Linked DNA regions of Pelodiscus sinensis. The protein of the gene in region 2 interacts with the protein of the main gene of each other region in a pairwise test. Links are inferred from orthologs where the notes say so. Each region holds a gene or a part of one and is shown on either strand. Other genes may lie near its edges.

Region 1 (6,876 bases), on a different chromosome or scaffold from region 2:
ACTAACCCTCTCTCTATGAATAGCATGCAGATCTGAACATCCTGCTCCTCAGAGCAGGCAGGTGCCTCGCCACAAAGGAGAGAAGGGAGTTAACATGGTCATAAAGCAGGTATTTTCATTTGCAATCAGTTGTTTCAAGAGCACATCTCACATTGTGTTTATGACCAAGGTTAACATATTATCAGAAAACACACAGCGTGGGGTGTTAGAAGCTAGACAGAGTGGGAGCATCCCGGTTAGACTTACGGCTACATGGCACCAGAGCTAAGGGCTGGGAAATGCTAAAGCCTGCAGTGTGATCTTCACAAGTTTGTGGAGATTTTCAGCCTCTCATCCCATCCCAACATTGGAAAAAGAAAAAAATCCACAAAAGTTTTATAAAAGGAAGCACCTCAGTACACAATTGATAGGATTAATTCTTCAAATGCAAACAGGCACACAAGGCCTAGTGCTGTGCCATACTCCTGCAGACTTTGTAGTGTCCACAATAGTATGTACTGGCTATCTCCAGTTAACTGGCAATCAATTAACTTCAATTCCAGTGCAGACAAACCCAATGAGGACAGTTCTTTCAGTCAGCAAACCTTACTCTGGCAGCTAAGTCCTATAGCTGCATCTCTCTCCCTAACCTCCCCCTCTCAAAAATGCTTCCTCAGCTATGGACCCATGCCCAGAATAGTCCTGACTACTTCTGTGCAGCTCCTCAGCAGGCCATCCATAGCCTGCAGCCTCTAGTTTCCTCAGTGTTGGCCATGTTCCCTCATCCCACTGCTGTGCAGGAGCACAGGCAGTAGACATGCACCTGTGGAAGGACAGCACAGGACATTTACTGAAGGGGGGGAGCAGTAGCTCAAGTGTGGGGAACATAACTAGGAAATATTCATTAAGCATGGCGAGGACAAAAATTGCACTCCCTGAAAGCTATCCATGGCTGGCTTCTAGCTAAGGCATTGCCATGCAGGACCCTGGAGGTGGGGTTAATATTGGGGCTCTCGGCACACAAGTTAGATTTGACGGACTGTCAGAGTTGAGTACTGTATGTTGATTGTTCCACTGTGTTGGGACCACGCTGCATTCCAATCAACTAAGTCTCTGTACAGACTCTGTACCCTAATTCTTTCCCCAGAAGAATCTAGGGTAAGGGAACAATGATGATTACCTTCCCGACAATGGAAGGAGCACTTGTAGTATGCAGACTAGAAGTGCTCTTCAATCAAACAAGGAAGACCAACTGATGTACATTTTCTGCTATTATTATTGTTAGTTTGACAAATAAGACTACATACAGTGAGAGAGAGTGCAGGTCACCACACTCCAACAGCAGCGGAACGCTCTGCTCCAGCTTGAATTCCGGACTTTGCCTCCTACCCAGACGTGAACACTCATCATGGATTTTCATACCCAGCTCTGCCGTCCCTGATAATTAAGGCCCCTGATAAGCCACACAAAAAGCAGGACAAGTGAAGGGCTTGATTACCTCCTGCCTTTGCCAGACCCGCTTTGCCATCATAGCACAGCACTAGCCAAGTGCTCCCTGAAGTAGGCTGTGCAGAAAGACCCTGTGCTTTAGAGCAGGTAGCCCTGGATGCGTCATCACAAGCCACTGACTAACATGGTTCTGCCACATACCAAGGGCAAGCAGACATCTGGTTACTGAAGTTGGACTTTGTCCTTAACTGGACAGATTTCTCCCTACAACACTCATTCTGCTCAGGTCAAACTTTGAGGTGCTGGGTATGGAAGAGACCGGAGTGGTCCCCTCTCATCCATCCCCAGGATCTGGAGAGCTGGGTCCAGCCTAGTTCTAAATAGGCCAGGCAGTAGCGCTCCCTCTCCCCGAGGGTCTTCATGCACTGGTGCCCCTGACTGCTAGGAAGCCGCCCCTCACGGTCACATCTGCCCCAGCCGCGGCCCCGTTTGCCCCGAAGCGAGCGACGTGCCCGAGGTCAGGCAACAGGCCAGTGGCAAGGCCAGAGCAGCGCCTGCCCCAGCGATGGCAGCACCGGGCTCTGGACCACGCACCCGACCGACCCTCACCCGCTGGCCACGGCTACGGGGGGGCACTGCCCACAGGCACCCCCCCCTCACCGGGCAAGCCGGGGCCCCAAGGGGAGATTCCCTCACCCCCCCCCCCCCCCCCGGTGACTGCAGGGGCGGCGAGGGGACCCCGCTCAGCAATTAGCACTGGGACGGGGGCCCAGGGGGAGGCGCCCCCCCCCTGCGCGCTGCCCCCCCCGCGCAATTACCGCCCCCCCCGCGCGCTGCCCCCCCCGCGCCCATTACCGCCCCCCCCCGCGCCCATTACCGCCCCCCCCCGCGCGCTGCCCCCCCCCGCGCACATTACCGCCCCCCCTGCGCGCTGCCCCCCCCGCGCACATTACCGCCCCCCCTGCGCGCTGCCCCCCCCGCGCCCATTACCGCCCCCCCTGCGCGCTGCCCCCCCCCGCGCCCATTACCGCCCCCCCTGCGCGCTGCCCCCCCGCGCAATTACCGCCCCCTGCGCTGCCCCCCCCCGCGCACATTACCGCCCCCCCCTGCGCGCTGCCCCCCCCGCGCAATTACCGCCCCCTGCGCGCTGCCCCCCCGCGCAATTACCGCCCCCCTGCGCGCTGCCCCCCCCGCGCAATTACCGCCCCCTGCGCGCTGCCCCCCCCGCGCAATTACCCGCCCCCCCCGCGCGCTGCCCCCCCCCCGCGCCCATTACCGCCCCCCCCCCCCCGCGCGCTGCCCCCCCCCCGCGCCCATTACCGCCCCCCCCCCGCGCGCTGCCCCCCCAGCTGTGCCCGGGCCAGGCGCCCCACACTCAGCGCTGCTGCCCCCCCCGCCAGACAGGCGGGCGCCTCACTCACCCCTCAGGCGGCGGGGCCGCTGGCGCGGGCACCCCCCGTCCCCTCAGCGCGGCCGGCCCCGGCCCCTTTAAATCCAGCTTCGGCTGCCTCAGCCCGGCAGCCGCTTCCCACAATGCCCCGCGCGGGGAGGCGCAGGCTGAGCAGTGGGGCACGTGACTCAGCAAACCGCCCCCGCCCCGCGCCCGCGCTGACAGGCCTTCGGGCGCGTGAGGGGCTGGGCTTGTCCGTTGGAGGCGCGCGCCGGCTGCGCTGTTGGCTCTGGGTCCGGGCGCGCGCGCGCGCGGCGTGGTGCAGAGCCGCTCCCTTGCGGGCGGGTGGCGCGCGCCCCTGGCTTGCAGCGCTGGGAGCCAGGCCAGGGCCAGCTGGGCAGCCCGCCCCCAGGGGCCGTGTCAGGCCAACCTGCCTGTGCTGGGCACCCCTCCCCCCAGCCAGCAGCACCCCTGGGCCCGGCCCCTGGCCGCGGGAAATGCATCTGGTCGAACACGCTTGCAAAGCCCCGCTGGCTATTTGAAAACCCCATTTCACTCTGTGGCTAAGGGAGTGCAATAAGGGAGTGCCTAAGGGAGTGCCCCCTGGGATGCATAAGCAAGGGCCAGCAAGTGAAGAGGTGGCACGACGTCCATGCTCAGCACTGGCGGGCCCAATTACCGTAGGGGTCTGGCATCCGCGCGCCAAAACGAATGCTGTTGACAGACCGGAGAAGTTCTGAAAAGGAGCGAATAAGATGAAGTCTGGAAAACTTGCCTTCCAAAGAGAGACTAAGGAAATGCAATCTATGTAGTTCATTCAAAAGAGGATTGTTCCCAGTCTATGAGTACCTACATGGCTAAGAGATTTCTTATCATTCAGACCGGGGGGGCCCAGTTCCAATGATGACGTCACGCCATTGAGGGCTATGGAGGCGGGGGCGCCCATCGCACATTCCGCCTAGGGCTCCAGATGCCGTCAGCTCTCCACGAGCCGCTCCTGATTCAGACTAGAAATAAGATGTACGTTTTAGACTGTGAGAATGACTAACCATTGAACAGCTTACCTAGGACTATGGAGGTTTCTTTGTGACTTGGAGTCTGTAAATAAAACCTGGATCTCTTTCTAAATGGCTATAGCCCAGCCAGAAACGACAGGCTTGATCCTGGAATTGTTGGCTGTGTCTAGACTGGCCAGTTTTTCCGGAAAATTAGCCGCTTTTCCGGAAAAGCTTGCCAGCTGTCTACACTGGCCGCTTAAATTTCCACAAAAGCACTGACTTCCTACTGTAAGAAATCAGTGCTTTTTGCGGAAATACTATGCTGCTCCCGTTCGGGCAAAAGTCCCTTTTGCGCAAAAGGGCCAGTGTAGACAGCTGAGATTTGTTTTCTGCAAAAAAGCCCTGATCGCGAAAATGGCGATCGGGGCTTTTTTGCGGAAAAGTGCGTCTAGATTGGCCACGGATGCTTTTCTGCAAAAAGTGCTTTTGCAGAAAAGTGTCCGTGCCAATCTAGACGCGCTTTTCCGAAAATGCTTTTAACAGAAATCTTTTCCGTTAGAAGCATTTCTGGAAAATCATGCCAGTCTAGACATAGCCACTGTGGGATTCTCCAGTCCACGTTCAGGAGGTCAGATGAGAGGATCATAATGGTCCCTTCTGGTGCTCAGGCAACCTGCCCAATTTCCCTTACCAACCACACTCAGTACTAAGAAAACCTGGCCCTACTCAACCTTGCCAGACATACCCAGCCAAATTCTACTCACCAAGCAAGCTCATTCTGTGTTCTGGTAATGTAAACCAGTTCCCCTTGGCTTGGTTCCACCTACACTCCCCTCAGGAGCAACACCTGACTCAGACTCCAGCACAGTTATGCCCATTCCACGGCTGGCCTCCACAATAGCAAACTGACACGCAGCCCAAGTCAACAATACCCGACAATAACAAGACCCAGATAAACAAGACTATCTGTCCCAATAGCAGGACAAATACCAGTTAGGGAAATTAGAGAGGGTGTCACTCCAAGGTCAAGTTTGACTCCCAATGTGCACTTAACGAAGGGAGTCAAGCAGTTTATTCTGTATGAAAAGTACAGCATTTCCTCCTCAGACGACAGCAGCTATTCTTGGGGGGGGGGGGGGACTGGGAGAGAATTTGGGTGCAGGAGGGGGTTCTGACCTGGAGCAGGAGTCAGAGGGGTGCACATCTGGGAGGGAGTTTGGGTGCAGGAGGGGGTTCTGACCTGGAGCAGGAGTCAGAGGGGTGCACATCTGGGAAGGAGTCTGGGTGCAGGTGGGGGTTGTGGTCTGGAGCAGGGGGTTGGTTTGTGGAAGAGGGTGCCAAGTGCAGATTCTGGCCCTGGCGGCTCCAGTCTGGCAGTGCAGTGGGGCATTCAGGCAGGAAGGCTTCTTGCATGTCATGGTGGCCCCATGTCTCTTCAAACTGCGGGCTGCTGTACTGCTTGGGCAAAGGCGCCTCTGCACCAGAGGTGACAGTAAGAGGGTGCGCCCTGGTGCGCAGCTCTGTCTGAGCTGCGGCAAAAACCAACGGAGCTGGCAGGGACCCAAGTTGCAAGAGGACATTACCTATAAGAAATATTATGCTTTCACCACGGCTCTGCACGCTTCTTGGGGCAGGGAAGCAGTGGGTCTCCACACGCTGCCTGTGCCCACAAGCATTCCCCCACATCTCCCATTGCTTGGTTTCCAGCCAATGGGAGCCCTGAGGAAGGTGCGGGGGAGGGTGCTCCATCCCCCAGGCGGCATGCAGAGACATGCTTGTCCCAGCAGCTGGTTGTGGTGTTTCCAAAAGGAGCATAGCCAGGGCCGCTGTGAACACACAGTGTACCTGAGAGCCCTGGTGGCTACAGGACACTCCTGTGGCCCTGGCCCAAAGGGTTATGGCAGGCTGGGGGGAAATGTTTGGCAGGCTGGATCCAGCCTGCGGGCCATATATTCCCCACCCCTGGCCTATAGACAGGTTCAGAGCATTAGCTCAGGTAACTCTTACGGTAAGAGGTGAATCGATCACCCCCTTGCTGTGCAGCAGTTCTGCAATAGTTCTGTGGGTTGTGTCAAAGTCAGACACAGGACTCACAAATGTGTCAGACCGCTCTGTTTATTAGCCAAGCTGCTCTGCTAATACACCCAGAAAATGTGAGTGCCGTACAAGACTCAAACCCCTCGATTTATACAGACAAAAGAAAGCAAAATTAACATGATCCAAAAAGGAGGCAAAACTCACATGATTAGCATGAGACTAATCAAGTATCTTCATTTCCATATCAAGCCTCAGCAATCTCCTGTCCATATCTCCGTGGTTATCTCAATTACTTTCTGCCTAACACCTAATGTTCCTTTTCCTGTTATCCCAGACACACTTGGTTTCCCTCTGATCCATCCTGCATTCCTACAAACAACATTAACATAATCTTCTCTTTCCTGTAAAGGGACAAACAGTATTCCTTGAACTTAATCTATTATTACAGTATAATTCATCTTTCTACTTTCACAGCTGAAATAGCTCCATGAACAGAAGAGCAGCCATACTGGGTCAGATTGTCCTTGTCCATGTTTGTTGACCTCCCTCTAAGAATTGTAATTCCCTTGCGGTCTCTTCCCCACCATAGCGTCTACCTCTACATGTCTGATCATTCTGTTCTTTACCAGTTTCAACTAGGGACGTCAAAAGTTGGTCAAAAATCTTAGTGGTTCCACACGTTGCAGTATACAGAGTAAATGAGCTTCATAGTGCAGAGTCTGCTGCGAGTCTTCTGGGAGCGGGGCAGCAGCCACTGCTGGGACCTGGCACGTGCCGGGGCGGCAGACGGCTCCCCAGCGTTTAACTGATAACATTATCCGATAAGCATCAGCTTCTCGGTTAGCCAGTTAATCTCTAACATCCCTAGTTTCACCAGTTGGTCTGGTGCTGAAGGCTGTAGTTGCCAGGGTCGCCTCGGGAGCCCCTTTTCAAAACTGACATTACATCAGCTGTCGTCAAGCCAGCGGGTGCAGTTGATTTACCTGACAGGTTACCCCCCAGTCAGTGGTTTTGCAGTCTCCT
Region 2 (7,893 bases):
TGGTATGCTGCTGCAATCTCCCTCCCCCATGTTCTGGCTGTTCTGGGGGAAATCTGGGGCTGATTCTCCCCCAGGAGAGAGACTGGGGGGGGTGAGGCAGCTACCAGCTCCTCCCACAGTTTACACTCCCCTCTCCCACACAGAAATTCCTGCATATGGGCCTGCCCCCAGACTGCCTCCCTGAACACACCCAAGGGACTGAGGCACACTTCTGGACTCAATCAAAATTCCAAATCAAAGAACCATCCCGAGATGAGGAAAGGGCACACTGAGTGGGCCCTGACAAGGGCAACAGTGCCCTGCCAAAGGAGCACACCTGGAATCAGCAACACTGCTTTTCTCTGTAAATCATTTTGTGAGATTTCAGATGAAGGATGCTGTGCAAAATTATTTGTACTGTAACTATTCAGTAGAGCTAACTACCTTTTTTCTCTCTCTTTATAGAGGTAAAACCATTCTGAGGTCTCAGGAAAGGGGTGTTTTTATATACATGTTCTCTCTCTCTCTCTCTCTCTCTCTTATGTGATACTTATCTATGAAAAAAGTGTTCTATTAATATTTTAAGCACAATCCTGTAAAGACTGTCTTTTTTTCAGTGGATGGATTTATAAGGTTATCTTACATAGTCTTGTAGCATAGTGCAGAGTGTATAAAAATATGGCTGTATTTTTATATTTACTGCTTGGAGAACCATGGTGGCTGATTTATTCAAGCATCACTTCCAAGAAATGAGTATGTTCAGAATCTCAATGAAACTTCAAATAGGAAAGACACTTTTCACCATAAATATTAACCAATAACTGTGTCTAAAATGGTCCTTTTTCCTGGGGATATTTAGAAATCCAGTTTACATTACAGCTCTGTGTCACACTGTATGTACATGTAATCTGTTGTCAAAACACACATTACAAATTCATTTTTTAAATACCAGTTGGGGATAAATTGTCTCTTGAGAGTTATCCCTGAATACAAGACTACAATCTCTGCTATATACTCTAGGGCTACGTGTATACATCAGTGTTATTTCAAAATAACTGATGTTATTCCAAAATAACATAATCCACATCTACACACAAGCAGTTATTTCAATATGACTGCTTACTCAGGGTACATCTACACTGCAGGGGTTTTCTGAGTATCCTGGAAAAACTCCACCGCGTCCAAGGAACGCGTTTGCTCTTCCACTTTTTTTTGTGGCACACCAAACACACTCTTTTGGGGAGCCCTATATTCCTCGTTCTACGAGGGATAAGGGCTCTGCCAAAAGAGGAGGCTTTTCTGCCATTTGGTCCTGTCTAGATTGGGCCAAATGGCAGAAAAGCCTCTTCTGGAGAAGCGATCAGAAAAAGCTATGCAAATTGCGGAGCGCAATTTGTAGTAACTTTTTCCAACTCCCCCCCCATAGTGTAGACCTAGCCTCAGACTCCTGTAACCCTCATTGTACAAGGAGTAAGGGAAGTCAGGGGAAGAGTGCTCTATCTCAAAATAACTGCTGCGTAGACAGCGCCAAAACTCTAAATAAGCTATTTCAACTTAAGCTACGCAATTGGCATAGCTCAAGTTGCAGAGCTTATTTCAAGTTTAGCCCTGCTGTGTGGACATGCCCTAGATGCAATTACACATGCTGCAGATGACATCCATGGGATAAATTCTTAGGCTATGTTATGTAATATCAATAGTAATAGAGATGTAGCCGTGTTAGTCTGGTCTTGCTGAAACAAAAGACAGGACTATGCTTAAAAGTGCTGCATAGTCCTGTCTTTATGTAATATCATATATTGATAATATAGGATGAATTATACTTGGATGACTTAGTTGATGAAGAATATAATACATATAGCGTATGTCATGGCCAATAAAGCTACACACAATGCTGAGGATAGTTTATTCAACTTTTTATATGCTCAACACCTCTATGAGTGTCATTGGACTTCAGGATGTCCCTGTGGGTTGGATTTTACATTTAGATCTCTAACAGCAGAAAGAGTGTAGAATTGCTGGTACAAGGGACCTGACTTCCTAATTTTAGCCTTTTGATCTTGAACTGCCTTTCCAGCTCTCTTTCCTGGTCTGTTGCTTTCTCTGCTTCCCATTTTTGCCACTCTAACTCCAGTGATCTCGGTGGGTCTCTTTTTGCATTGTCCATTTCTCTTTGGCTGCCCATGGCTGGTATTTACTAGAAGCTGGGAACAGGAGATGGGATCAATCACTTGATGATTACCTGTTCTGTTCATTCCCTTTGAAGCATATAGCATTAGCTGCTGTTGAAGCCAGGATACTGAGCCAGATGGACCTTTGATCTGACCCAGTATAAGTGTTATTATATTAAATCACATTCCTTCTCCACGTTTGCCATCTCCAACATCGCCAAATCCAACTTCATGGCTGTTTCATTGAGAGCTGTATTTGCACATACCTTGCACATACCTTATCTTTTTTCCTCCAGTGAAAATCTCAATTACTTTGGTATTTATTTCTTGAACTATGTGCTGCTGCTCAAAGTACTGCCTCTTGGAATATGATTCTTGCTTGGTCACAGAATACTATTGTCTGTTCTATTGCCCTTACTGAAATAAACAAACAAAAACCAACAATCTATACCCTTTTTTGGTTGTTTCTAGCCATCTCACTTGTGAATCTCTTAGTATCCACAAGCTAATCTACACTAGATAATTAGATTGATCCAGCTATGTCATTTGGGGTGTGAAAAATCCACATTCCTGTGAGAGATAGTAAAGCCAACCTAAGTCCCCAGGTAGACAGTAGTAGCTTGATTGAAAAATTCTTCCACTGACCTAGCCTTTAAATTGGAGCTTTCTTCCTCCTGCAGTCCTACTTTCCTAGTCAGGTTTCACTCCCCAGAACAAGGCAAGCAGTCCCAGTACTCCCAGGCCCCAGCCACACCAAGTCCTGGCCACAAGCTGGCAGTTCCAGAAAGGAGCAGCATGCTTGGATTGGGTCCAAGGAGAAAGTGGCAAACAGAAGGGAGTTTCTGGTGGGGTGTGGACAGAGCCACACAGTACTGTTTGGGGAGCCTCCCACAGCCTACAAATACACACCACCCACAGCTGAAAAGGTAGATCTCATGGAGGTCACTGAATCCATAACATAATCTTAGCCTTACTTATTAGAGACTGGATGTGTGAAGGCATTGCTAATGAGATATAGAGCCTTTCCTGTATGTGTCACAAATTTGTTTCTAGCCCAGCTCAGCAGGGCTGGAATTATTTTAATCATTCCCATCTGTTGGAAGTTTGGTGGGTGAGTGCCAGCTTCCACATCACAGTTTCACAAACAGCGTATGGGTATGTGGGAGGACAGGGGACAGATGCAATGTGAGGGGTAGGCACTATGTGAGAGGACAAGGGACAGGAGTATTATGGGGAGGGATGCAGGCAGCATGTGGGTGTTGGGACTTGGGGGGAAGCAGGCAGTGTGTGAGTGTTGGGACTTGGGGGGCAGGCAGTGTTGGGATTTGGGAGGCAGGCAGTGTGTAGGTGTTGGGATTTGGGGGCAGGCAGCATGTGGGTGTTGGGACTTTGGGGGCAGGCAGCATTAGGTGTTGGGATTTGGGGGGCAGGCAGTGTGTAGGTGTTGGGATATGGGGGGAAGCAGCATATGGGTGTTGGGACTGGGGGGGCAGGCAGAGTTGGGTGTTGGGGCTTGCGGGGCAGGCAGTATGTAGGTGTTGAAGGTTTGGGGGGGAGGCAGCATGTGGCTGTTAGGACTTGTGGGACTAGGCAGCATTAGGTGTTAGAATTTGGGGGGGGGGACAGGCAGCATATTGGTGTGGGGACTTGGGGGGGGACAGGCAGTGTGTGGGTGCTGGGATTTGGGGGGCAGGCAGCGTATTGGTGTTGGGACTGGGGGGGCCAGATGGCATGTGGGTGTTGGGACTGGGGGGCAGGCAGTGTGTGGGTGTTGGGACTGGGGGGACCAGGCAGTGTGTGGGTGCTGCGGTTGGGGGGGGGCAGGTGGCATGTGGGTGCTGGGGTTGGGGGGCAGGCAGTGTGTGGGTGTTGGGACTGGGAGGGCCAGGCAGCGTGTGGGTGCTGTGGTTGGGGGGGCAGGTGGTGTGTGGGTGCTGGGGTTGAGGGGCAGGCAGCGTGTGGGTGCTGGGACTGGGGTGCAGGCGGTGTATTGGTGTTGGGACTGGGGGGCAGGCGGCGTGTGGGTGCTGGGACTGGGGGGTAGGCGGCGTGGGGGTGCTGGGACTGGGGGGCAGGCAGCGTGGGGGTGCTCGGGTTGGGGGCCAGGCGGCAAGTGGGTGTTGGGGTTGGGAGGCAGGCGGCGTGTGGCGGCTGGGGGGCAGGCGGCGTGTGGGTGCTGGGGCTCGGGGGCAGGTGGCGTGCAGGTGTTGGGACTGGGGGGGCAGGCTGTGTGTGGGTGCTGGGGGGCACGCGGCATCTGGGTGCTGGGGCTGGGGGGCAGGTGGCGTGTGGGGGCTGAGGAGCAGGCGGCGTGTGGGGGCTGGGACTAGGGAGCAGGCGGCGTGTGGGGGCTGGGACTGGGGGGCAGGCGGCGTGTGGGTGTTGGGACTGGGGGGGCAAGCGGCGTGTGGGTGCTAGGACTGGGGGGCAGGCGGCGTGGGGGCTGAGGAGCAGGCGGTGTGTCGGGCTGGGGTTGGGGGGGCAGGCGGCGTGTGCGGGCTGGGCGGGGGGGGGGCAGGCGGCGTGTGCGGGCTGGGCGGGGGGGGGCAGGCGGCGTGTGGCTGGGCGGGAGGGTGGCGCACAGATGGGCCGCAGGGAGGACCAGGGCAGGGAGTGTCTGATCAGACGGGCCCAAATGACCATTTCAGCCTCTGGCTCCTGGCTGGGCGGGGGGGGGGCAGCGGGCAACTCCCCCTGCTCCGGGGTCGTGGGGGGCGGGGCTGTCTGTGGGGCTGGGTCGCAGCGGGTGGAGGTGGGGCCGGCGGGCGGGTCGCTCTGCCCCCGGGCGCGGCGGGAAAGGGGCCTGGGCTCCCCCCGGGAGAGGCCGCGCCGCCCCCAGCCTCTCGCTGGGCGGGGCAGGAGGGCGGAGCGGTGGGATACCCGGGCACCACGGCCGGGCGTCGCCCTTCGCCTCCATGGCAACGAGCCGCCGGCGCGCGCACGCCACGGGCTAACGGAGTTGCTCGCGGACACGCAGCAAGGGCAGCGCTCCAACAGGTAAGGGCAGGGCCTGACTACGCGGCGCCCATCGCGGCTGCTGGGGCGGGGACGCGACACAAACCCCGACAGGGACCGCGGCGCGAGAGGCGCTGGCCATTGAACGTTCTGTGGCCGGAGAGAGCTGCGGAGCCTCTGCCGCGAAGCAGGATGGGCGATGTAGTTCTTGGGCTCACGCCCGCGGTGACGGCCGGCCGCGGCGCGGGCGGGCGCGGACTACAGATCCCAGCGCGCGGCCTGTGGCCGGGTAGGGGGCGCAGCTTGGCTTCGCCCCGGTATCTGACCCTGTGGGGGAGGGGTCGGGGGGGGACCCGCTGGGGACCCGGAGGTGGGCGCGACACCGGGGGCTGCAGCAGCGCAGGCTGGGCCTGTGTAACGGCGCCGAAGCTGCGGCCCGCGGTCTGTCGGGGGCTTGTGGCGCCTCCGCCCTGGGGGTGTCTGGGGGGGGGGGGAGGATGCAGAGCTGGGTGTGTAACGGGAGGGGCTGAGCGCAGCGCCAGGGGACGTGGGCGAGGAGGCAGCGAGGGCGCTGGGCTGTCAGTCCCCCAACACGTTAAGTCCCGTGAGCTGTGCAGCGCCTCTGGGGAAGCCCCTCTCGCTGGCTGAGCCCCTTGGACCAGCTGCTCTGTCCAGGCACACGCCTGGTTTTGCTTTTTCCATAGTTCCCTTTGGCTTTGAAATGCCCAGCGCTTCCCTCCTGAGCAGGCAGCCTCCTCTCCCCGGGTTGCACATTAAGGCTTTGTCTACACTCCCACGTAACTATCCAGTCTTTAGGTGCTTATAGATTATCAGTTTTGCCTGTTACATACAGCTCCGCTTTCCCTTTGATATTTATATACCCATTTCCCCCCCCTCTATTTATTTTTGGTTCTGGACATCTAACACTCCAGTCATCTGAAGAAGTGGACTGTGCCTACCAAAGCTCATGATACCATTTACATGTTTTGTTAGTCTTTAAAGTGCTACCAGACTATTTGTTGTTTTTTAAGTTTATCCCATACAGACTAACTTGGCTACCCCTCTGAAGCTTGCAAATCTTTTGTTGGTCAGGGGTGTGGAATCCCCCTGACCCCCCCCCCCAAACAATCCAGACAGACATAGGCAAGTTTCACTGACAAAAGTGTAGACCAGTGGTTCCCAACCTTTTGGGGTTGCTGGGTGCCCGGGGGAGGGGCCACTCGCGCTGGGCACCCGAGGGCGGAGCCGCACACGCACCTGGGGGCGGGGCTGCGGCTGCGCACGCTCCCAGGGGCGGGGCCTCCCATATGCTGCATGCCCAGTGCCGGTGCCACCCATGCGCTGCACTCCTGGGGCCGGCGCCGCTCCTGTGCCTCACGCCCAGGAGCTGGCATCACCCAAGCGCTGCGCGCCTGGGGCCGGCGCCGCCACTGCGCTGCGTGCCATGGGGCGGGGACGCCCATATGCTGAATGCCCAGTGCCGGTGCCACCCATGCGCCTCACTCCTGTGGCCAGCGCCGCTCCTGGGCTGCACGCCCTGGAGCCAGCAACGCCCATGCACTGTACGCCTGGGGCCGGCGCCACTCCTGTGCTATATGCCCGGGGGCAGGGATGCTCATACGCCACGCGCCCGGGGCCCGTTCAGCCCATGTACTACGCTCCCGGCGGCGGGGCCACCCATGTGCCACGTACCCCGGGGCCGGCACCGCCCATGCGCCATTCAGCCAGGGTTGGGCCACCCATACGCTGCGCGCCCAGGGGCTGGCACTGCCCATGCACCACATGCCCGGGGGCAGGGCTGGCCCCGATCACTCGGTGGGCACACAGAAATGGCCTGGCGGGTGCCATGGCGCCCGTGGGCACCATGTTGGGGACCACTGGTGTAGACTGTGTGGCCAGTGGTATGTTGGCAGGAGAGCTCTCTTCCACCAGGATAGGGCAGTGGTTCTGCTGTGTCACTGTAAGGCAGTGGTCTCTAACCTTTTTAAGCACAAGATTACTTTTTGAATTTAAGTGCAATCCAAGATCTACCTCTCATATAAATATCCTTCCCCACTTCCTTCCTACCCTTTCTCCAAGGCCCCACCCCTGCTCACTCCATCCTCCCTTTCTTGCCCATCCTCACTCACTTTCATCAGGCTGGGGCAGAGACCTTCACCGCATCCTCTGGTAAGGAGTTCCACAGGTTGACTATGAGCTGAGTGAAGAAAAACTTCCTTTGGTTTATTTAAACCCTGCTGTATATATCATAGGGTATGTCTAGACTACATGCCTCTCTTGCCAGAAGCATGTAAATTAGACTACCTGACATAGTCAATGAAGCCAGGATTTAAATAGCCTGGCTTCATTAAAATAAAAATGGCTGCCGTGTTGTGCTGGCTCAGCTGATCGTCGGCATAGCGTGTGAGTCAAGACGCGGATCGGTCGACAAGGGAAGCCTTTGTCGACCGCTCCTGTAAACCTCGTTTTTTTAATAGAGAAATAAAGCAGGTCACACTAAAACCAATGAAAATAATTGACTTATTTATTGAAGACATTGTAGGAGACGTGAGATTTTTAAGTGCAACTTAAATGAGAGGGTAGTATTAGGGATGGTTTTGAAGGCATGATGGACAGCATGAATAAATTAGGCAGAAAAGTGTATGAAAAGGAGTAAAGGCTAGTATCTTTTTTCAGCTATGCTATTCTTGCTAGTTAATGTTTTATTGAAAGCAAGTGAAATGTTAGGATTCATGCAACTTGATGTTTATATTAGGGATGTAAACAGAGGTAAAAGTAAGCGAGTGCA

Evidence for each region.
Region 1: the proteins of KATNAL1 (region 2) and KLC4 interact in binary tests that used the Homo sapiens proteins (3 or more experiments, as listed by UniProt). The two-hybrid records come from large-scale screens. The link is inferred for Pelodiscus sinensis from reciprocal best matches to the Homo sapiens genes KATNAL1 and KLC4.

What each region holds. Positions count from the first base shown.
Region 1 is NC_134713.1:200,179,170-200,186,045, reverse strand, and holds the start of KLC4 (kinesin light chain 4), read right to left. Parts: upstream 3,007-6,876; 5' UTR 2,850-3,006; intron 1-2,849.
Region 2 is NC_134711.1:298,586,798-298,594,690, forward strand, and holds the start of KATNAL1 (katanin p60 ATPase-containing subunit A-like 1), read left to right. Parts: upstream 1-4,874; 5' UTR 4,875-5,147; intron 5,148-5,247; exon of another isoform or gene 5,248-5,394; intron 5,395-7,893. UniProt on the Homo sapiens protein: Regulates microtubule dynamics in Sertoli cells, a process that is essential for spermiogenesis and male fertility. Severs microtubules in an ATP-dependent manner, promoting rapid reorganization of cellular microtubule arrays.